Caenorhabditis elegans: one gene and its partners. The protein of the gene in region 1 interacts with the protein of each later gene in a pairwise test. Each region holds a gene or a part of one and is shown in the gene's direction. Other genes may lie near its edges.

What was found. Proteins that work in one complex are often made in the same cells at the same time.
Region 2: the proteins of ikb-1 (region 1) and mrt-2 interact in a two-hybrid assay, tested with the Caenorhabditis elegans proteins (2 studies listed by BioGRID).
Region 3: the proteins of ikb-1 (region 1) and meg-4 interact in a two-hybrid assay, tested with the Caenorhabditis elegans proteins (2 studies listed by BioGRID).

Annotation. Positions count from the first base shown.
Region 1 is NC_003279.8:9,682,177-9,690,104, forward strand, and holds ikb-1 (Death domain-containing protein), read left to right. Parts: upstream 1-3,221; 5' UTR 3,222-3,377; coding exon 3,378-3,449; intron 3,450-3,995; coding exon 3,996-4,119; intron 4,120-4,168; coding exon 4,169-4,251; intron 4,252-4,394; coding exon 4,395-4,642; intron 4,643-4,692; coding exon 4,693-4,775; intron 4,776-5,084; coding exon 5,085-5,218; intron 5,219-5,274; coding exon 5,275-5,544; intron 5,545-5,591; coding exon 5,592-5,937; intron 5,938-5,982; coding exon 5,983-6,416; 3' UTR 6,417-6,477; downstream 6,478-7,928. Other genes in the region: rpl-14 (Large ribosomal subunit protein eL14), read left to right, coding at 7,026-7,130, 7,477-7,671, 7,763-7,870.
Region 2 is NC_003281.10:11,743,414-11,751,490, forward strand, and holds mrt-2 (Cell cycle checkpoint protein RAD1 homolog mrt-2), read left to right. Parts: upstream 1-3,352; 5' UTR 3,353-3,549; intron 3,550-3,630; 5' UTR 3,631-3,635; coding exon 3,636-3,734; intron 3,735-3,805; coding exon 3,806-3,961; intron 3,962-4,020; coding exon 4,021-4,161; intron 4,162-4,209; coding exon 4,210-4,290; intron 4,291-5,472; coding exon 5,473-5,562; intron 5,563-5,708; coding exon 5,709-5,828; intron 5,829-6,446; coding exon 6,447-6,563; 3' UTR 6,564-6,762; downstream 6,763-8,077. UniProt on the Caenorhabditis elegans protein: May be a component of the 9-1-1 cell-cycle checkpoint response complex that plays a major role in DNA repair. Promotes DNA double strand break-induced cell cycle arrest and apoptosis, thereby playing a role in genome stability.
Region 3 is NC_003284.9:1,679,780-1,687,734, forward strand, and holds meg-4 (J domain-containing protein), read left to right. Parts: upstream 1-3,174; 5' UTR 3,175-3,176; coding exon 3,177-3,234; intron 3,235-3,280; coding exon 3,281-4,751; intron 4,752-4,799; coding exon 4,800-4,883; intron 4,884-4,931; coding exon 4,932-5,078; intron 5,079-5,126; coding exon 5,127-5,261; intron 5,262-5,776; coding exon 5,777-6,054; intron 6,055-6,103; coding exon 6,104-6,429; 3' UTR 6,430-6,640; downstream 6,641-7,955. Other genes in the region: C36C9.11 (Transposase), read left to right, coding at 7,761-7,799, 7,851-7,903.

The DNA of each region.
Region 1 (7,928 bases):
TCCGACCGTTTTTACAGCATTGTTGGAAGAAAGCTGGATACGTGGGTGCTGCGAATACTTCATCAACACCATTTTTGACTCCAGCTCAATATTGCATTGATCATGGTGACACAGTGATTTGCTATCACACTGGATGTAACCATCTCGGATTCATCCGATGCGCAAGATGCAAGATGTTTGTTTGTTTTAATCATTTTGTTGTGTCAAAACAACATCTTTGTTCATCTCCTTGAATAATTAATAAATTCATGATTGCATTACATTCAAGTTTCGCTATGAATAAAATTGTTTATATGAGGGGATCCATGGTTGTAGTGGTCCATGGTTAAGTTTAAATTTTAGGGGAAAAGATGTTGAATGAATCATTATGGTGTTGGTCGACACATTGATCATGCTGATATCGATCAGAAAAATTAAAATTTGGGCTTTTATATAGTTTCGAAAAAACACGTTTAAATTTTTGAAAAACTTTACGTTAGGGTGGAATTGAACCCCAGAGTCCCACCATGCTTGTCATCCACTCTATCCACTCGGCCATCTCGCTGTTGCAAGCAGTACTAATTGGGGATGGTGATAAGTAAAGCACGTCAAAACGAATAATTTCAGACGTAAAAATTTCAGATTTCCAGCCCGAACGGGCAAAAATTTCAGTCATATTCTTATAGTAGAGAATGTCAGCTTTCCGATACAATATTTTTTTTTGAATATCGCTCCATTTATTCTGGTCATTCCCTAGTGAGACATTTCGAAACAGAACAAATTCATGAACAATTTTTAAATATAAATAATGTAACTATATCTACATTATTATTTAATATTTTTTAAATCAGTTAAAATAAGTTTGTATATTGCCTGTGAAGACCCACAACGAAAAAAAGATTTCGCAATATGGTCGTCGAGAACATTCGATTAAAAAAACTTGAATGGAGAGAAAAATGAACACGGTATTTCTTTCAAAAAGATATTGGATTGAATGTGTGGTTCTGCAGTTTTTATACTCGATCCTGCTTTAGGCGACGTTGCCTTGCTCAGTCTAACTATAAGAAAGTGTTCATAGATTTGAGAGACGGAGAAACCTTAAGCTCCGCCTCATTCTCGTCAAAAATAGTGTGAGCAATGGGCGAAAAATTGATATGATTCACACTGATAAAAATCGAAAAAAAAACCAGGAAAAATTGTTTAGGCATTGATATAGAATTCTACAGAAGAAGTGAATTCTCGATAATGAAGGATTAGAAATAAGAAAAGAATGTTTTTTGGCAAAACTCCAAAGTTTCAAAAACTTTGTCCAGTTGAAATATTGTCTCTAAATAGACCTGAAATGTGATTAAAAACGATATATTTTGTTAAAACATTCCAAAATTTTTCAGATTTTTCAAAACTTTCAGTTAAAATTTTGGTAGAATACCAAAATTCCAAATCCTTAACCTACTTCATCTGTAACATTTTTGGTGCTGGAATATACACTCGAAAAGTGATAATGAAATGGCATAGGCACAAAAAATAGTAAAAAAAGGGACAACAATTGTACACAAAGATTTGGTGGAAAGAGGGTGAGACGAGGATTTGAGGCGACGACCCCCTCGTACCTATTAATTATATTTCAGGAGAACTAACGGAACGAGAGCGATCCTAAGTCAATGCTTGAGGGACGACAGCTTCTTCTCCTTTTTATATTTTACCCAAACTTTCCTGGCTTAAATTAAATCAAACTCGGGCAAGACTTGGTTAAAGATCATTCTTTCCCTTATCTAATTTTTGGTGACATTTAAACCTCTCAATTTTACCGTATTTCCTCTATTAGTATGGCACCGGCTACTTAACTTTGAAACGTTATATCTCGATTCATTTCAAAGATATCAATATTTTATAAACTACGAAATAATAGAAAAAGAACTAAAAAATATATTGTTAGATGACAAATTTTGAATAGTACAAACGATTACTGAGATAGTATAAGCTGTCAAAGTTGAACAATTGGGTGCAATACTAATGAGGAAAAACGGTAAGTTATTTTGTTGTTTTGTTGATATAGTTTTGCCAATATCAAGTCTTTTATATTTTTATAGTGGTTCCACAGGGAATACATTTAAAAAATCGATGAAAAATGAAAAAAGTAACAGTAAACCGTCACCTTACCAAAACATTGTTCACTTTATCAGTGCACACTGTCTTGGCGTTATTATTTGCCGTTCAATTAACTCTGAGTCATAGTTGACTATAAATCGAAAATTAGTCTTGCAAATACTGCAAATTATTTCTGAAAAAAAAACTCGACTTTCCAACTAGCGATATGTTTGCAAATGCAAAAGATACTTAGAAAGAAACACTCGGATTATTTCAAACTTTTATTGTTTTATTTCAGAAATCTGTGCTTTATTTACAGTGTGTGATGAAACACTTCTAAATAACGTAGAGTAAAAAAAAACACTTCAAAGCGGTTTTAATGTTTTATCTGCAGACTATTTTAATTGTAACAATAATTGAGCTTTTTTGCGAATTTTTTCGTCCCAAAAAAAAAGAAAAAAAAAGGGTCCAGAAAAAACAAACAAACATGAGTTCAACTCTCCACCACGGGAAAATTTTTTGCGAATTTTTTCGTTCCAAAAAAAAGGAAAAAAAATTCATCAATGAAAAGTAGGCAGTTCAGAAACCGAAAAGCTTAACATTTTTGCCACAATTGATCCCATGCTGATTGGACAACGGTTTTTTAAATCAGAACTTTTGCAGATCTCTCGATTTGATAGAAACATATTAATAGTTCTATCAAAAACAACGTCCTTATTAAAATTTTTTTAAATATTTAAATACAGTTGTCTTAACTTTCAATTGGGTATTTGTTTACTTTGATTCCGAAGTGTCCATTGCATCATCTTTAAAAAAAAAAATTATATCTCCTCTTAAGGTGACACCACTGTTAGATCTCTTGGAGAACTCTGATCAGCTCCAAATATGACCTCATATTATTAGGTTGGCATAGTTGTTTATCGAGTTATCTAACAAATGTTTTTGACACAGTATCTAGATTGTCTGATATTTACGTGTAAGCTCGTGGTCAATATCACATTCTAGTTCATTTCGAACACATCATCATTTTCTGTGCTTCTCTATTTCTCTCCAAATCCGCTGATATTTTCATTCATCCCCATCAGATTGTCATAAGATTGTCCTCGCGCTCTTTTCCGATCGACCAAGTGCTTGAACCCAAAGATCGTGCGAATAGTGTAAAAGTTGAAGAGACATAGGCATTTGCCGAGTTTACACACAGTCGAGCAGGCGGTGGTCGTTGGAGAGAAGCTTTCTCGCGGGATACCCTCATTCTAATATCCTCTCGTTCGTTTCATTTTGATTATTGGTTTTTTAATCATTTTCTAATAATGTCTAAAGCTGATGAAAATGATGCTAATCTCACAGAAAATGGAGTTCACAAATCGAGATCAGACTCAGAGGTTTGTAGTAGTACTACTAGTACTGTAGTTAAAAAATATATTAGCTTCAATGAGGATTTTGACTGAATTATATGAATCAATATATTCAATATAATAATCAATATAATTCCAAAATAACCAAATATCATAATAAAGAACTCTAAAAATTCCCAGTCAAAAATTTGGTAAATTTCCAAATTTGCCAACCATTTGGACTTTGTGAGAAATCTAAAGCAAAGTTACGTATCTGAACCTTTAAAATGGTTAAATACAAATATTTGAAACATAATTATAAAGTAAATATAAAATTGGTAGAAAAAAAACGTTTTTTTTTGGTACAATTACAAAATTGAGAATGGCGAAAACTGTGTGATCGCCAGTTTTTTGGTGGAAAATATCAAAAATTTTCAGAACAGATATATACTTATATTTGGTCATTTTAACTCTATAAAATTAGTTTTTAAAATTTTTACCCTGATGGCATATGAGCCAAATAAGAAAATAATCAAGCACTTTCTAGAAGCGAGCAATTATGAATATAAAAAAGTATATCAAATTATTGTCTAGATAAATTCCCATACATCATCAATTCATAAATCCTCAAGTCAACATCGCCGGTTATTCATTGATGATATTTCAACTATTGAAGCATCTGCTGGTGATCGCGTCTGGGCAACATGTTCTGGTGCTGGTTAGTTTAAGTTACAGTCGGATGAAGAAAATCTTTCTTTTTAATACAGGAGACGCCACTGAACTCATCACAATTCACTTTCTAGGCGATCAATTTGAAGAGAGTGCAATTGATGTTGTTAGGAAACATTCGGTAAGGACCGTTTCGTAAAAGGGAAAACTGAAAAAATAATATAATTTCAATAAATGATAAAATTCGCATTGAAATTGTACCCATTCTCCGTAATCTGTAACAAAATCTGTGTAAAAACTTATATAATTAATGATGTTTTACAGCTTGTAATGTTCACAGTCCCTTCTCTGAAAGTAGACTCAGAATTGGAAGTGGAGCTCAGATTTTCAACTTCAAATGATAATGTGACAACGATTTCTTTCAAATACTTGCCACGAAAAATCCAACGTTCGCATACTCAGGAAATATCGCTTTTTGACAATTTACTTGAATTTGCCACCAACGGAGACACAATTTCATTACTTCAGCCTTTTGTAGCACAAATTTCAAAACAAGATATTGAAGGAAATACGTAAGATTTCAAGTTTTCCTCTCCTTTACAACATTCATAATTTATTCCAGAGTATTCCATGTGGCAGCGAAGAATGGGCAGAGCTTCTCATTAAAGCTTCTACTTTCAGTGATTCCACCCGATATTAAAAATGGTAAGATGTTTTGAGACGAAGCTATTTAAAGCACCTGTGATTGAATTGGCATAAAAACTTCAGTATTTATATCACCAAGACGCGAAATTTCGCATTTTTTCGCGCAGAAAATACGACACGACAATTTTTTGTAAATTTTCATAGTTTGTTTTGAAGGTTATATTTAACAAATTCTGCAAAGACAGAAGTTTGATATTACAGTAGTTTTCTTAAAGGTGCACACCTTTTCTCATTTAGCAAAAATTTGTCGTGTCGAGACCGGAGATCTTATTTTTGGCGCAATATTTTGCATATGGGTAATATTTTCAGAAGTGATAAATGTACAAAACACACATGGTCTTACTGCACTACATGTAGCTATAAGGACTGGAGATCCCGATGCTGTTCATTATCTCATGAATCATGGAGCCAAAATTGACATATCAGATAATCATGGGAGCACAGTAAGTATATAACAGACAAAATGTTCGCTTTGTGTAGATTATTCAATACTTCTCAGGCTCTACATTATCTTGGAGATGCATACAATGAATCAATTTTCAAAGAAATATTAGAACCATCTAGAGGTCAACGGTTTGATGTGAATCAGCTGAATTCGGAGGGATTTGCACCGATTCACGTGGCAGTAAGAAGGTTGAAGCTGTCGTTGATTGAGATGCTCATTGAAGCGGGAGCATTGATTGATTTTTTGGATACTGAAAAGAAAAGAAATGCGTTGATGCACGCAATTGAAATGAATGATTTTGAGACTATTCAGCTTTTGGTTGAGGTAACTGTACATAGAAAAACATTGTTTTAAATTTAATATTTTTTCAGAGAGGATCAGGAACAAATATAGAAGATGAATCTGGAGAGACTGCATTGAGCTTGGCTGTAAAAAACGTTAACTATCCAGTGATTGGCCTTCTTTTAGATAATGGAGCTGATCCGAATAGACAAAATTCTAAAGGAATATGCTTGGCAGATAGTGAAGATAGTGTTATTCAAAACATTATAAATGGAGATAGACCCGAACTACCCAAGAAAGAAGCTTTTGGTGTTCCTAATGATTTAGCTATTTCTAGATCTCCCTTATTTGGGAGATCTCATCCAGATCAGGCTCCAGGTGAAGAGAGTGGGCGGCACAGAGTTGTGAAGAGATCTAGAGAAGAAATATTAAATGGTATGTTTTCTGAAAGATTTTTTGAAATTAGATCCGTTTTTGTAGACGCTCAAACTCTTCTCGCTGAAACTGACTCCATGGCTCCACGTGTTTCGAGAATATCCACATCTGAATCTGAAGATGAGCAACAGCCGGGACCCTCAACATCGTCGGGAACACGAAGGCGTCGAAGTGAATGGGATCGGAATCCGAAGCTTAGTGATTCGGTCTGCAATTTAGATTATTTGACCCGAATTCGCGTTGCAAAAATATTTGATGATCAGTGCAAATGGCAAAGATTGGCACAACAACTCAATTGTGATCACATGGTGGAACTTATTTCTATTTGCTCATCGGGAGACGATTCAAGCCCGACTATGATTCTTTTGGACCAATTTGAACAACTTGAAGACTCATCAATTTCCCGATTGCGCGATGCTATGAATCAAATGGCAGAAGATGATGCAGTTAAATTAATTGATTCCCGTTATGTTTACTGAATATCGCAGAATTGTTTTTATTTATTTTGTTTTCAGTAATAAAACTTTACCATGCATCCTGTATTAATTTACAAAATGCAATTTATATCGAAAAACTGGACTAAGTTGCTTTTTCCTAAAATATGAACACGACTTTTTTGAAAATTCACCGGTTTAATGAAATTCATACAGGTTCAGTACAAATACATACATTAATCACTGAAATTACATAAGAGCAAACAATTGAGCAAAGTTCCCCTTCCTACAATGAAAAAGATGAGATAAACTGCGCCGCAGTTGCGTTGGGTGCGCCGCATACTTGCACGTGTCCCGCCCCATGTGGGTCTCGCCACGAAATTGTCACCGTAGCCTATGGCTGTCTTACTCATTTTGCGATTTTTTTCCCAAATTTTCTTCTTTTTCAGCAAATTTTTGATATTTTTCGGTTGTTTCTGTGATAAAAACGATATAAGAAAAATTCAGAACCAGTTTGTCTATCGATTAATACTAAAATCATAAGTTTTTGCTCAAAATATATCGTTTTAGCTGGTGAAGTCAATTTTTTCGGTGTTTCTTCACTTCTCAATGTACGCGTTATAATTTTGATTTATTATTTAATTTTCAGTAAACATGGTCTTCAACCGTGTCGTTCAAATTGGGCGCGTCGTCTTCATCGCCTCCGGCAAAGACCAAGGCAAGCTTGCTGCCATCGTCAACGTTATCGACGGAAACAGAGTAAGTCATTTATTAATTAAGAAAAAAAAATGTATAGCAGATTTATTGAATTTTACTTAAACTTTTTAAAACGTTTAGATTATCAATGCGATCAGAAATGTTTGTAAAATGCAAAAATCGGAAAGCATAGCTCTGAATCATTAAATAGTGAAATCATCACTGAAATATGCTCGTTAAAGTGATTTACTGAACAATTAGTAATTAGATTGTTAATTTATGATTAATCACAACTTCCCTTTTGAAATTGTTTCGAATATAATCGATATAAATTTAGCTGAGCGTTTGTTTTAAGCAAACACGTAGCCCCAAGAAAACATAAATACAGGCTTCTAATTGTTATTTTCAGGTTCAAATCGATGGACCATCCTCCGATGTCACTCGCACCGTCAGAAACTTGAAGGATCTTCAGCTCACCAAGTTCGTCCTCAAGCTCCGTGTTGGACAACGCACCAAGGGAGTTAAGGCAGCTTTCGATGCCGCCAAGGTCACCGAGAACTTCCAGAAGACTCAATGGGCCAAGAAGATCGCTCAAAGAGCTATCGTAAGTCACTATTTCCGATATTTTTAAAGTTAGCTTGGTTTTTGTATTAAAATTAGCATTTTCGGCTCACTTTAACCATTTTTACTTGCAGAGAGCCAAGCTCACCGACTTCGAGAGATACAAGCTCATGAAGGCCAAGCAGATGAGAAACAGAATCGTCCGAGTGGAGCTCGCCAAACTGAAGAAGGCCCAAAAGTAAAACGTTGTTTTGTTTTTAATGAAATGTTGTTTAAAAAATTGTTCGAAATTTATAGCTT
Region 2 (8,077 bases), on another chromosome or scaffold:
CGAGAACTTTGCCCGCATTTTTTGTAGATCTACGTAGATCAAACCGAAATGGGACACTCTGACTTGTTTTATGCTAGAATCCTGCAAAATCATGTGAAAATTTAGCTATTTTTAAAGAAAAATAGCCTAAAATGACCGATTTTCCGCAAAAAAAGGCTCAAGAACATTTTTAAGTACAGTAACCTTAAAGGCGCATACCCAAAATCGCTACTTCGGCACGTAAATCGACTGCAGTATCCATTTAAAGGATTACTGCAGTTTTCGCTACGAGACATTTTGCGCGTCAAGTATGTTGTGCAATACGCATTCTCAGAATTTCAAATTTTCTTGAATAAAAACCAAAAAAATCAATACAACAAAACCCAAAATCTGGTGTGTTGCTGGTAGTATTCTCTGAAGAGTAAACTGGCGGGATCTACTTTCACTAAAAGCTTTTTTCGTCCGAAATCCCAAATCCAATTACATTTACTCCTCATCCCCGCCAGCGCCACGTCACATCGCCTTAACTAAATTTTAATTTTAATTTGGAAATTTTCAAGTCTGATATCCGTGCCCCGGGTGCAAGAAAAGTACTTTTGTAGATTAATTCTGGCCACCCGGACCGGTCAAATTCAATGACGAGACTTGAGAGAGAGTGTGTGGGATTTGAGAGACGCAGAGAATAAGAACGAATGGGGGATAATTGTCCACCTCGAGAATTATTGTGTACGCGCGGAAAACTGGATATGTTTCTTTTTCAGGGGTTTTTTAAGAAGGATATTTGATGGGACAATGGAGAAAAATCGGGAAAAAGGGATTTACAACTGGAAAATTCAAATTTTGCGCGTCAAATCTGGTGCATTGAATTTTTCGCGCTCCATTGACAATCTCCTGCCGGAAAGGACATTTTCCACGTGGAGTACACGGAACGTGGCCTAGAAAACTTTTCTCGGGTTTTCACGGGGTTCTGGCCTTCCTCATTGCATTTTTTGTACTCCACGCGGACAAATGCATTTAGTTTTACAACTAAAATCGAGCCGCGACGCGACACGCAACGCGCCGTAAATCTATCCCAGATATGGCCGAGCCAAAATGGCCTAGTTCGGCAAACTCTTCCATTTCAATTTATGAGGGAAGCCAGAACTCCGTGTCTGCAGAACCTAAAGATTTTTAACTCAAAATTGTAGAAATTAGGCTAAAATTGCACTTCAAGCTGAAATTTAAAAAAGGAATGCACTAGATTTGACGCACAAACGTTAGAAAATTTGAATTTCTCGGGTAGTGCAAAGAATTGTTAAGTTGAAAAAAATGCATCAGATTTGACGCGCAAATCTTGAAATATTTGCTGACATTGAGTTTTCACAGTTTTTTTTTAAATAAATTAAAGTTTTGATTACTTTTGATTAAATTTTTCGAATATTTTGTCTGAAAGTTTCACGTGATGTCAGAGTGTCTCATTTCGGCTTGATCTACGTAGATCTACGAAAATGCGGGAGTTGAGACGCAGAGTTTTCAACTGATTTCGCATGGTTAAGAACGTGCTGACGTCACATTTTGTTGGGCAAAAAATGCCCGCGTTTTTGTAGATCAAACCGTAATGGGACAGCCTGGCACCACGTGAAATTCCAGAAAAAATGTCTGAACCTACTGTAGTTCACAATTTAAAGGCGCATACCAAAAAATTATAGCGGGAATTAAATTTTTATTTAATAATTTTTTCAGTTACAGAGCAATTAAAAAATTCAATTTCATCAAAATTTTATAGACCAATTTTCTCGCTTTATAGCTGAGCTCCGCGAGCCAAAATAGGAAGGGGAGCACGAAAAAAAAACAGAAAAATGAGCTCGACAGAGCCCATAGCCTCAAGCGCTAACGAACCAAAAAATGCACACACACACAGGAGGCGGAGTCGTGGAAATTTCGAAAAAAAAAACAAGATTTTCTTCTCTCTCGGCTCAAATTTGAATGCGGAGCAAGAATATTACGGGAACAAAAAATTCTGAGAATGCGTACTGCACAACATATTTGACGCGCAAAATATCTCGTTGCGAAAAGCAAACTACAGTGATTCTTTAAATGACATTTGTAGTGTCGATTTACGGGATCTCGATTTTCGAAATGAATTCATTTATCATTGATCGAGCCCGTAAATCGACACACGCACTACAGTAGTAATTTAAAGGGTTACTGTAGTTTTGTTTTCGCTACGAGATATTTTGTGCGTCAAATATGTTGCCCAATACGCATTCTCAGGATTTTTTGTTAGCGTAATAAAATAACAGAAAACACAGAAAAAGGCATGAAATTTAATTTGAAATACCGCGCTGAGTTTTCTAGGCCACGTGTCGTGTACTCCCCGTGGACAAGCGGTTTTTGCCTTATTTTTCTGAAGTACAAATTCTCAAGTACAAGTAAAAAAGTACAAATTTTACCAAATTTGAGGAAAAGAACTAGCATGACAAAAATAGAATTAGAAAAATTCTAGAGAAAAACTACGGATTTCTGGCTTCCCTCATAAAATGAAATGGAAGAGTTTGCCGAACTAGGCCATTTTGGCTCAGCCATATCTGGAGTAGATTTACGGCGCGTTCCGTGTCGCGGCTCGATTTTAGTTGTAAAACTAAATGAATTTGTCCGTGTGGAGTACACGACTTTACCACGCGTTGTCCGGCAGGCGATTGTCAATGGAGCGCGAAAAATTCAATGCACCAGATTTGACGCGCAAAATTTGAATTTTCAAGTTGTAAATCCCTTTTTTCTTCCCATTGTCCCATCAAATATCCTTCTTCAAAAAAACCCCTGCGTCTCTCAGGCCATATCTGCGGTAGATTTACGGCGCGTTGCGTGTCGCGTCGCGGCTCGATTTTAGTTGTCTGGCGGGCGATTATCAATGAAGCGCGAATAAATCAATGAGGAAGGCCAGAACCCCGTGAAGATCCAAGAAAAGTTTTCTAGGCCACGTTCCGTGTACTCCACGTGGAAAATGTCCTTTCCGGCAGGAGATTGTCAATGGAGCGCGAAAAATTCAATGCACCAGATTTGACCACGCGTCGTGTACTCCACGTGGAAAATGTGGACACTAGGGATCTACTAAATGCCTGGAAAATCGTAAAAATCTCGAAACTTCCTAAAGAAAAAAAAAGCAAATACACAAAAACGCATTGATGTATGAACAAATTGCCCTCCCCGTCTCCCACCAAAAACTCCCAAAAATTGCTCTTTTTTCATGTTTATATGGGGGACCGCGGGATTTCATAATAGCTCCGTGGTCCGCTCAGCTCATCCGGAGCCAAAAAGAGCACACACACACACGCACACATAAAAGTTGTAAACTAGTTTCGAGCAAAAATGATACGACGGATGAGTGTGTCACGCAATCAGTGAGCTTCTCTCGCTTTCGAAAGAAAAATCTTTTTCGCAAAAAGAAAAAGTACTTTACACTGGCCACAGTGTAAAATAAGGGTGAAAAGATCGAAAATCGGAGGTTTCAAATTTGAATTTCCGCGCAAATGAGAGGGACGAGGTGCGATGGCCTACAAAACTCCGCAGGTGTACTCCTCTCGGAAAACGGTGCGAGAATTAATTTTTTAATTTATATTTAATTTTCAGCGATTTTTCTCAGTTTTCCGGTTAAAATTTAAATTTTTTCAGGAAAAATGATGGAATTAGAAACGGGTCAATGCACAATTATGGAATTGAAAAAAGAAAATGTGAAGGAGCTCGCGCAGGTCTTCAAAACCGTCGCTTTTAAGGATGTTAGTGTTGGAAAATATCGATATTAATTTCATTTTTTTTGAGAAAAAATCTAAATTTTTCAATTTTCCAGACAGGAACGTGGCACGCTTCCGAGGCGGGCATGAAGATCACAGTCGACGATGGATCCTATCAGCTGGCCAGCGTTTTTATCAATCCGGCGTTCTTCTCGAGTTTTAAAGTTCGCGAGGAGATAGTTTCGATGAAAATCTCGATTAAATCGATTTCTGTGAGCCTTTAAAAGCCCATAAAAGCCCAAAAAAGTGGCAAAAAACAAAAAAATTCCAGGAATTCCTGAGCATTTCGGAAAACTCGTCGAGTTCTGTAAAAGTCTCGTATCCGGGAATGTTTCAGCCTGTGAAAATGCTTGTTGAAGACGCAGACGGATGGGTGGCACGTGGCAATTTTACAACAACGCTGGCAGATCAAGTTCGCCGGGTTTTCGAAATTCCTAGATTTTTTTTTGTCTATTTTTAGGAGCTCGACTTTGAATTCGATGACGCTGGTGTGCTGGCGACCTATCTGCTTAAAACTCAAGTTCTCAAGGAGATTATCAAGGTTTTATCATTGAAACCTTTAAACATTCGAAAAAAATTTATTAAACTCCAGACATTTTCCAAAAAAAATTTTTTTTTTTGGATTTTCGAAAAAAATGTTTTTTTTTTGAAATTAAATAAAAAACTTTTTTTTTTACTTTTTTAGTGAAAAAACAAAAAAAATCGGTTTCCCTTCAGAAAAATCGGTGTTTTTCGGTTTTTTTCATATTTTAAAACATTTTCTGAATTTTTTTTTTGACTTTTTGGAAAAAAATTTTTTTTTGGATTTTTTCAAAATGAAATAAAAAACTACTCGAATGTCGCAAAAACAAAAAAATTTCTTTTTGTTCTGACAGATTAACATTTTTTGGTTTTTTTCGACTCCAAAAAAAAATTTCTGAAAAAATTAGCTTTTTTGAAAAAAAAACCATTTTTTTTTAAATTTTTTAGTCGAAAAACGAAAAAAAAAATCGGTTTCCCTTCAGAAAATTATTGTTTTTGGGTTTTTTCCCACATTTTAAAACATTTTCTGAAAAAAAACTTTTTTTCGACTTTTTTGAAAAAAAATTTTTCGGTTTTTCCGATTTTCTAATTTTTCAACAAAAAAAGACGAAAAAAACCAGAAAATTCCGAATTTTAGAGCCAAAAACGAACATTTTCCGTTTTTCAATTTTGAAAAAAAAAACGTTTTATTTTTATTTTTCGATACTTTTTTGTCGAAAAACGAAAAAAAATGTTTTCCGTTCAGAAAAATCGGTGTTTTTTGGTCTGTTTTTCATATTTTAAAACATTTTCTGAAAAAAATTTTTTTTTCGAATTTTTCATTACTTTTCAAAAAAAAAATCCGTTTTTGATTGAAAAAACCTTGATATTTTTCCGATTTTCTAATTTTTCAAAATTAAAAAAAACCAAAAAAAAAATCCGAAAATTCCGACTTTTTGAGCTAAAAACGAAAATTTTCCGTTTTCAATTTTGGAAAAAAAATTTTACTTGAAAATTCGATTTTCGCTTAAAAAGTAGTTTTTATTGTTTCAATTTTTCGAAAATAAAAAAAAATCGATTAAATTGCAGAATTTCCAACCCAAACCCAAAAAAATCGACGTCCAATACTTATGATTTGACGCGCAAATTCTAAAATTCAAATAAAAATTCTTATTTTTGCATTAAAAAAATACGAATTTTTAATTTTTTTTCTCTATTTCAGGACTTCGATGACACAAGCCGAACGGTGAGAATTCAATTCACCAAGAATTCACTGTGTTTCACGACTTTCGGTGATGTTGGCGAGACTACAGTAGGATTTTTCAAATTGAAAATTAAATAAATTTTAGGAAATTAAAAAGAAAAAAATTTTAATTTTTTAACTCAAAAAAAAAAAAAAAAAATTGTTTTGAAAAAATATTTTTTAAAAAATTAAAACCAAATTTTTTATACTTTCAGGTATCAATACCGTCTCGAAGCCTTCAAATGGAAAGTGTAAAGTGCCTTGAAGAAGTTGAATTTAGCTATCTTCTGTCGCTTATTCAACGAATGACTACCGCCTTTATACTGGCTACAAAGGTAGTTTCTGGAAAGAAATTTAGCCTATCTGCTAGATTTTTCCTAGTTAAAGTTATCATGGTTCCAGGAAAAATTCATTAAAAATATGAAAAAATTGGGGGAAAAAAAAAATTTTTTTCGAAATTTTTTGAAAAAAATCTGAAAAAATTTGTGAAAATTATTTTCACTATAATTTTTAATTTAAAAAATTGAGCCGATTTTTTTAGAAAAATAAATTTATTTGTGAAAAAATTAATTTTCCTTTCGAAAAATATTTCGATTTTTGAAAATTTTTTTAAATTTGAAAAAAAAAATTTTCATTTTTTTTTCAAAAACAGAAAAAAATTTCGAAAAAAATAAATAAAATGTCTAAAGCATTTTTAACGATTTTTCCAATTTTGCAACAAAAAATATCAACATTTTTCCGTTTTTTTCCCCGAAAAAAAACCCCAAAAACTCCAAAATTGGCCAAAAAAATCGAAAAATAAATTAAAACGTTATGCTCCAAATCAAATTTTAGTTTCAAAAATCGAGAAAAAATTAGAAAAAATGTTTTTCTTCGAAATTTTTTTTTCAATTTTCTAAAAAAAAATGTCTCGAATTTTTTGATGCAAACTTTACAATTTAAGTTTTTTCCAGCTCATCCTCCGTGTCGACGAGCGTGGCGTCCTCTCCTGTCAATTTTCAATCGATCACGGCGAGGGAAACGCAAGCTACATTGAATTTCTGACGGTGCCCGCTGATGAAGAAGAATAAAATATTATATACATTTTTAATTTTTTTTTAATGTTCGATCCCCGAGTTTTGCAACAAGTGTACCCTCATCTCCCGGGTATAAAAACCCGAAAAACTGCACCGAAACGCACGCAAAAAAAATTAATATTTTCTTCTTTTTCGTGCTTCTTGCAATTCTCGCTGTTGATTTAAATTTTCAAATAAATATTGATTTTTATTACGAATATTGCATTTTGAAATGAGAAAAATTTTTAAAAATTGGGTTTTTTTTCAGTGAGTGTCTCGTCGAATAAAATGCTCGGTACGTAGTACACCGTCACGTCAAAATACACAGAATCGTGGATTTTTTTCAAAAAAAAAACAAGGATTTCTGGCTTCCCTCATAAATTGAAATGGAAGAGTTTTTGCCGAACTAAGCCATTTTGGCTCAGCCATATCTGGGGTAGATTTACGGCGCGTTGCGTGTCGCGTCGCGGCTCGATAGTAAAACTAAATGTATTTATCCGTGTGGAGTACACGACACTTTCCCATGCGTTGCCCGTCGGGCGATTGTCAATGGAGCGCAAAAAATGCAATGAGGAAGGCCAGAACCCCCTGAAAAATCGATGTGTTTTTAGGATTTCTTCAAATTCTAATTAATTTTTAGAGTTTTTTGCCGGCAATATTATGTGGAAAATGAATGCAAAACTTCTTGTAGCCCTAAAAATCCCCAAGTTTGTGTATTTTTAAAGAAAATTAAAGTCTCCTGCCGAAATTTTCAATAAATATTGATTTTTATTACGAATATTGGATTTTGCAGTGAGAAAATGGGGTTTTTTTTTTGCAAAAAGACTCCGTAATTGTTGGAAAAAAGACATATTACAGGAACACAAATTTCTGAGAATTGCGTACTACACAACATATTTGACGCGCAAAATATCTCGTAGCGAAAAGAAAACCACAGTAATTATTTAAATGATTACTGTAGGGCTTGTGCAGATTCACGGGCTCGTTATTCGGAATTAATTAAAATTATTTAGGGATCGATTAAGCAAAAAATTCCTTCGAAAATCAAGCTAGTAAATCGACGCTACAGTAGTCATTTAAAGAATTACTGTAGTTTTCGCTACGAGATATTTCGCGCGTAAAATATGTTGTGCAATACGCATTCTCAAAATTTTGTGTACCCGTAATACCTCAAATCGTTCATTTTCGCCTAATTTCTGCTTTTCTCAAAAAATTTGAATTTTCCGCTAATAGATTTCTTAGAAACTTTGAATTTTCCACCAGAATCCCGCTCTAAAATGTGGAAAAATCTTTTAAAAAACGTGGTTTTCATTACTCAAAAAAAAAAAATTTGAATCGAAAGAAAAATGAAATAAATAATAATAATAATAATAAAACTTTCTCGGGGTGGGGGTGGAGGGACTTGCACGCATAATAAATACAAGAAGCAGTAAATGGGGAAGGGGAGGAAATTTCAGGAAAAAAAAATTAAAAAAGGGGAACCATAGGACACACAAATCATTCTAACCCAAGTTATTCGACTATTTCTG
Region 3 (7,955 bases), on another chromosome or scaffold:
AAATTTATAGGATAGTAAAAATTTTAGCAGAGCTCGCTGTACCAGCTGAAAGCCGAAAAAATCAGTCAGCCGCACACTCCTATTCAATTTTTTTTTTTGTTTGTTTTAAGTTCAAATTCCACTCGGATTTCAATGGTTACTTAACTGTTATTTTACGTTCTCGGTGAAAACATTGTAAATGAGAAGCAAGAATGAGATACCATTGAATGAAAAACAAAAAATTAAAACAAAAAAGTGAGCAATAAGTGTTGTATATTTACGTATCATGATAAAAAATTCAAAAAAATTTTCTAGATTTTATATGATTTTTTTGAAAATTGCAAAAATCTCAGTTTTCCCCTAATTCCTATTTGAATTTCCGCCAATTGAATTCGTTCGCTGGAGCACACTTGCATTATTTTTATTAATTTATTATATTGTTTCTCATTATTTCACTGATTTTCTTCATTCTTTGTGTATTTTTATCGGAAAAAGAGAGAAAAATTCAAGATAAATGCAAATTATTTATTTAAAAATCACTGAAAATGGGTAAAACTGTAAAATTATGAGTTCCGACGATAGCAAGCCTGAAATTAGCTTATTTCACAGTTTCACCCATTCTCAGTTATTTTTAAATAAATAATTTGCATTTATCTTCTCTCTTGTTTTCCGATAAAAATACACAAAGAATGAAGAAAATCAGTGTAATAATGAGAAAAAATAAAATAAATTAATAAAAATAATGCAAGTGCGCTCCAGCGAACGAATTCATTCGGCGGAAATTCGAATAGGAATTAGAGGAAAACTGAGATTTTTGCAATTTTCAAAAAATCATATGAAATCTAGAAAATTTTTTATCATGATATTCGGTCATTGTGGTAACATAGGCGTGTTTTAAAACAATTTCCCCATTTCGAATTTGAACTCATTATAAATACTTGCTTGGCAGTTTGGGAATTTTGGTTACAACGCATATAGAGACTTTGGAAAAGTCTCAATATTTTATAAGAAAAGCCACTCTAGAGAGATCAATTGAAAATAAAAAATAAAAAAGATCCTTTGTATGCTGCTTGCAGCTTCTCCGGCGATCGATTTCATATAATTCATTAGTGACTAGGGGTGGCAAGAGTGCGACCTAGGTCGCTAGGTCGCTGTTTTCATTTAGGTCGCATTGCGACCTGCGACCTAGCGACCTGCGACCTAGCGATCTGGGTTGCATTGCGACCTGCGACCTAGCGACCTGGGTCGCATTGCGACCTGCGACCTAGCGACCTAGGTCGCATTGCGACCTGAATTACCGACATTTTGTTCTCTTTCGGTTTTGATTCACTTGAGTTGTTAAAATCCGTATAACTCGAAAACTGCATTGCGACCTGAATTACCGACAATTTTTATACTAACAAATTGCTACAAATCATTTATTTTACATTGTTTTCGATTTCTCATCCATAAGACACCTTGTCGAAAAAAGTTAGAACAGCCGACATCCGCCGGATTTGCTGCTTTTTTCTACGTTTTTAATTCGAAAAGTGGAAAATGAAATTTTAGAAACAACAAAAACCACAAAAACGTGAACTTTTTGAAAAAATTTGCTGAAATGCATGGTTTTATTTGTAGAAATGAATTCTTTGTTCCGTACTTTTGAAAAAAAACTACGCATAAACTTATAAAATCTTAATAGAGAAAATGTTAGTGGAATATATCATACATATTCTGCAATCTTTAGTTTTCGAGTTATACGGATTTTAACAACTCAAGTGAATCAAAACCGAAAGAGAACAAAATGTCGGTAATTCAGGTCGCGATGCGACCTAGGTCGCTAGGTCGCAGGTCGCAAAGCGACCCAGGTCGCTAGGTCGCAGGTCGCAAAGCGACCCAGGTCGCTAGGTCGCAGGTCGCAATGCGACCTAGGTCGCGATGCGACCTAACCCTCTAGGTCGCAGGTCGACCTAGGTCGACCTATAGCCACCCCTATTAGTGACTCATGCTTCCGGGGGGTGCATGGCTCAGTGCCTATGCGCGCTGCTTGCAATCACAAGGTCACAAGTTCGACCCCCACCTCCTAGGTCCTTCCAGCCTTAAATGGGAATTCAGTGTTCGTTCCACTGTCTTACAGCTTACATACGGCATTTATCCAGGCAAGACCTGTAGAAAAAAACCAAAAAAAAAAAAAAAAAAAAATTTTGCCACGTGGGGCAACCTGGCAGTATTTAATGATTTCATTTTGGTATTGAAACATGAGACAGTCTAGAAAATTAATTGGCAGAAGTTATCGACCACAGTCCTCAAGATTTTCATTTGATCCCACGTGGCAAACTGTTTGAGTTTTCTTCATTTTTTCTTTGTGTCATAATTTGAAATTTTACTTGCCACATTTTCAGACATTTTTCCGTAAAGAAAATTGGCTGCTCACTTGGAAACGCTGAAATTAGTCTAAAAATCGATAATTCAGTATTAATTTTAACTTACTTTACTGAAACATTACTGAAAAATGTATGAAACTGTGAAAAATTAAAGTTTTAAGTTTTAAATCAAAGAAAATATTAAGAAAAATGTCAAAGATCAGGTCAATAATTTGCGCTGGAATTGAAAAATAATTCGGCCCTTTTTTTTTGCAAAATTGAAAAAAATCATAAAATTTCAAAGAAAATGTTCGGAATTTTTTTACAGTTTTATTCGATATTTACATTGAAACTCTATTTTGTCATTAAGGTACAAAAAACCCACAAACGCTACTCCACCTTTAAACTAACAAGTACACGGAACCAAAGATTTTTCCTTATTTTTCTTCTTCTCGTGTTTTATTCAGTGATTATCTTTCCGGTCACCAATATTCCAGAGAATTAACTATCAATATCCGACTTTTTACTCAACTGTTCCTCAAACCTCCAATACTCTTGAAAAACAGCCGGTACCATACAAACGTTTTGTGTTGTTTTGGTAATACCCCTGCCGCATTTTAACTGTGTTTTTGCCGCGCGCATGCATTCCCCTGACCGTTTCCCCACACACTATTTCGCGCTCTCTTTCTCTACCTCTCTCACTCTCTCACTTCTCGCACTCACTCACTCACAGGTCTCCATTCTTGCTTTTTGGTCCCACCGGTTTTCATTAATTCCTCTCTCCCTCATTATTTTCTTTACATTTTTACATTTTTACATTTTGTAATATTTCATTAAGTTTTTTTTGTTGCAGGTATGAGTTCTTCAAAGCTTTCCTCATGTGATCTGCCAAACTCCAGAGGAAACAGAGAAGGTAAGCATTTTTTAAATCAATTTTTTTCTTCAATTTGTAATTTCAGGTCACCGCTCTCATAGTCGAAGCAATTTGGAAAGTGCATCGAAAAATATGGGACACCACATTAGTATTGAAGAATTGTTTTATTCGTTCGTAAAGCAAGACGGTGTTCAGTCAACAAGCCGTGGATATGGTGGCAGATCTCACCACGGATCCGTGTCTTTTAACGGGAATCCTTCCATGAACGGCGACCAGTTGAATCACTCGATTAATCAATCGATGAATGCAGCTCGAGCTAACAGAAACGTCTTCAACTCATCGAGCATTCCTCCAACGGCCCCCGTGTTCTCTGCAGACTTCCGTCAAAACTCGCAGACACGCAATAACTCCAGCTGGAATCAACGGAACTTGTCAGTTTCCACTTATCAGTACAACACTCAGCAGTCAAATACAGGGCACAGTAGAAGCCGTCCGAATGGACAACTTGGCCGAAGCTTCTCGGATGGATCGAACAATCATGGCCATGCTGGGAATGTGTCATTCAGTGGGAGTTCCGTTCCAGCTGGGTTCCAGAAACAAGAAACCAAGGCTTACCAACAACTTCATGGAAATAAAAGCTTCAACGCTCAAGCTGGAGTTCAAGCTCCTGGAGATCACAAGGACAAGAGATATGGAGGCATGTTTGGAAATGAGCTTATCAATTCGATCAATTCTAGTTTTGGCCAACAGCATGATGTCTTCAAGCCGCGGAATTTGAACCAGAGCTTTTCCGGATTTACTATTAATGAAGCTTTAACAAGGAAGCATCATCAAGAAGGATCAAGAAACGATAGAAGAAGATCACATGGGAGCACTAATGTCCAGGATCGTGCTTTCTACAACACAGATGACAATGAACTGTCTGACGACGTGTTCATAGAAGATTCCAATGGTGTTGCAAACGGTCCAAAATCTGTCACTAACAAATCTCAACAACAGTCTCGCGGAACGAAGGATGCTGGCAGTCAAGTGGCGGAGAAACTGAACTCTTCCAGAGGAGCTGCTCAACGTAATCTGAAATCCAATGTGTTCAGCAAGGACGGCACCGAACTTTCTGTGGAACAGTTACTGGAAATTGTCAGCATGAAGATCGGACAACACTTGCACTCAGCTTCCAGTTCTCACGGAGAATGCAGCAATTTGAATCGGACATTACCAGCTAGAAGTGATCTAAATTGCTCAATTGGTGAAGACTTCGACTCCAGTTTTCTGGATGTAAACAATCGAACCCTGCCAGAAAATCTTTCGAAGAAAACTTCAGTGCAGAAACATCGTCGTGGAAGTTCTCGTAGTGCGTCCCGTCTCGCCAGTCTTGACGTGACGCTGGAGACTGTAGAAGAAGATGTCGAACCCACACCAAGTCCACATCCGAGTTCTCCTCCAAAGATCTCAAGAAGAAAGTGGACAGGAACTTTTGATGCCAACGTTGAGGAAATGAGACGTTTACTTCATGGGGACCCTGGGAAGCCGAAATCTACAAAACGTGCTTTCTCAAGGTATGTAGTGATAAAAAGTGAAGTATTTAGTAAAAGTTTGAATTTCAGCAAGGATCAGAGAACACCTTCCTTGTCAATCATCACAAGCCCGAAGGCTTTGATCGGAGAAAAATGTCTGACAGCATCCAACAAGTTAGTTTTACACTTGGAGCTGCTTTTTTCATTATGTTTGTATTGCAGGTCTTCAAAGATTGACAAGTCACTTGGCATGATTGATTCGAAACTCACAAAGTCACCAATGTACTCCGCCACGGTTTCTGGGAAGGAAGCAACTTCAGGAAACCGAATCGCTCGAAAGTTGACTCCAGGGCTTGATGGACTGAAAAGGTATGGAACTACAAAGAACAAACAACATTTTTAAATGTTCTTTTCCAGCTCTCATTGTACCGGAAATCCAGTTTCCATAGATTGTAATGGTTGCCCAACTCCGAAAAGAAGTGGAATCAATTGTGATAATCGTATGGCTGAAGTGAACAACCAAGCCGGGAGATGGTCCTCTGAAGCCACCAGGTAAGGCCCAAATCAATAAATTCGCAATGAGTTTCGTATTATATAAATTTCTGAATTCTCAAAAAATCGTGGATCAAACATATGGAAAATAATGTGCAAGTTGAGTAGATTGAGGTCAAGACTAGACCTCTCGAGTAAAAAAATAGAGCATTAATCTTGCACAACTCCGCAAAAAGCCCTCTGCTTTTGTCTATTGCCCAGAAGGTGTGCGGCAAATTTGTACGGTTTTGCCGAAACAACTTTGCCGAATTAGCCTAATTTGCCGTTTGCCGAGCTCAGACAATTTTGATCAAAGCTATGGATTTTGTCGCCAAAAATTTAGTAGTGCTCGGCAACTTTTGAGATTTTCCACACATCCCTGGAGCCCAGTCTAATCACTTGATATTATAATTACTAAACGGTGAATTGCGAGCCCGCTAATAAATTTAATTTCCTCAGAATATATAAATTTTTGCCGCACAGCTTGATTCGATTTCTGTAACATACTTTCCAAGTACAATTAATTTTTTTTTCAGTCAGCCTGCCCCACTCCCTTGCAAGTCAGCCAACCCGACCGAAGATTCTTCTCAAGATGCACCTCCAACTTCACCACCACCTCGTATTTCTGATAGCTTGACGGCATTCCTGGAAGCTCAACAAGACTTCAATGATTATATTGATGCTCACTACAAAGAGAAGACACAACTCTTGAAAGTGAATTTGAATATTCACGGGATGTCACCTGAAAGATGGCTGTACTTGAATTATTTTTGCACCGAGACAATTCCAAGATTGGATGGTCCTTATGCCGATGGTAAGAAAGATAAGACATATTTAATCTTGAAAAACGTAAATTTTTTCAGATCCAAGGGTTCCACCTGTGCGAAATATATTCAGAAGATGGTTTCTCCGGTTTGCTGAAGCCTGCTTAGGAAATCCAAATGACCTTGCAGTTCAGAAAGATATTGCTCTCGAGTTCGTTCAGGCTCGGCTTGACGATACGAGCAGCTCCACAGATTCCACCAATATGCTCTACATGTTGTGGAAGGAGTGTATCGGACAGAAGAATATCATCTCAATTGCTGATGCGTGTCTCCTTGTATATCTTCGGAAATCGGATCCTGTCAGATACTTGAATGCAAAACGAGAATGGCTGGAATCTATTTTTGACCCACCCAGAGATCAATGATTGTACTGATATATATCTATTTCATGTCGAGTATTTTGTATTTTATTCTTGTTCATTGACCTTTTAACCACTCTTTTTATACTCCAACTTGCTCCTTCTTGTGAATTTATTTATGGTCTGCCCAGGAACTTGTAACGGGTAGTTTTCTATTGTTATCAGGACTGCTGCTCATTCAAAATTCAAAGTTGAATTTCAATAAAGCGAATGTTTGAAATAGGTATATAATTGGCAACTGATTAGTAGAAATATGTCTCTTCTTTGGCTTTTTGTAAAAGTTAGGCAAAAAAGTGGTCACGGATTCAATTTCAAAAGCGATGCTTCAGACTTATCCGCTACGATAGCGAAGGTTCCGTTTGTACTGAAAAACACAGTAGAGGAAATTGGTATAGGCGCGTATAAATAGAATTCTAGTAGTTGACTCTGAAATATAAAAAGTTATTAACAATCCAAATTGGCAATTACTGATTATAAGGATAGGAATGTTAAGTTTTCTTAATACTACTAGATACTACCCTCTACATTTTTATTGATAGGCATGCCTACTTGCCTGCCTAACTTCATTTGAAGGTCTTCTCTTTGAACGTCCACTTGCGCCATTTCCCGCCTTAAACTTGTTGTGTTTTCCTTGGATGGCTATTTGACTAGCGATTTCAGCTTTCAAGAATGAAAACAATGTTAAGTGCTGGCCTTAGATATCCAGTGTTTCCTGTGAAATTTCATTTCAGTGGCAGCATGCCAGACCAAATCCAAAAAAACCAAAGGGGAAATTGTTAAAAACTACTCCTATGATCCCAAAATGACAAATTATCATAGTCAAAATTTTCTAGAATATCGCTTACATCCGAAGCCTAAGCCTACGCCAAGGCCTAAGCCAAATCATAGGCCTACGCATAGGCCTAAGCCTAAGCCTGATGAAATAAAACAGTATAGTTTCATTTAAATGAAACACCAGAACCATCAAAAACACTTGATTTTTTTTCAAATTTTTTTTAAACTAAAATATTTTTAAAGTTCGAAGGAAAACTGTTTAGCATCTTTTTCTTTTTGTGTGTCACTCTACATTAATATAAAATTTTATTGCAGTCCGCTACACACTTTTTCATTGTTTTTGTTTCTCTGCTCCTCTACTTTCTTATCAAAATTTTTTCCCGGAGGTATCATTTGGTCTTCCTGCGGCGGCTTGTGTGGCTGGCACCACCATTTTTTTCTGGATTAAAACAAATTAAAAAAATTTATGTATTGTATGTGTGGTGAGTTTTAAAGTTATATTAGTTTCAAGAAGCTAATTTTCATTACTTTCAGAAATTTAATTTCTGCTATCCGCACCCCGAATGTCTACAAAAAATCTTCTGACTCAAGATGGTAAATTGGTGAGTTTTTGTATCAAAAAAGTTTCGAAAACCTTCAGAAATTAATTTCAGAGTAAGAATCGGCAAGTCGAGGAGAAAAATATCTTTAATGCAAATCCCACATTGTAAGTGCTTTTCTCGAAAATCTATAATAACATGGAATAAGGTTATGGAATA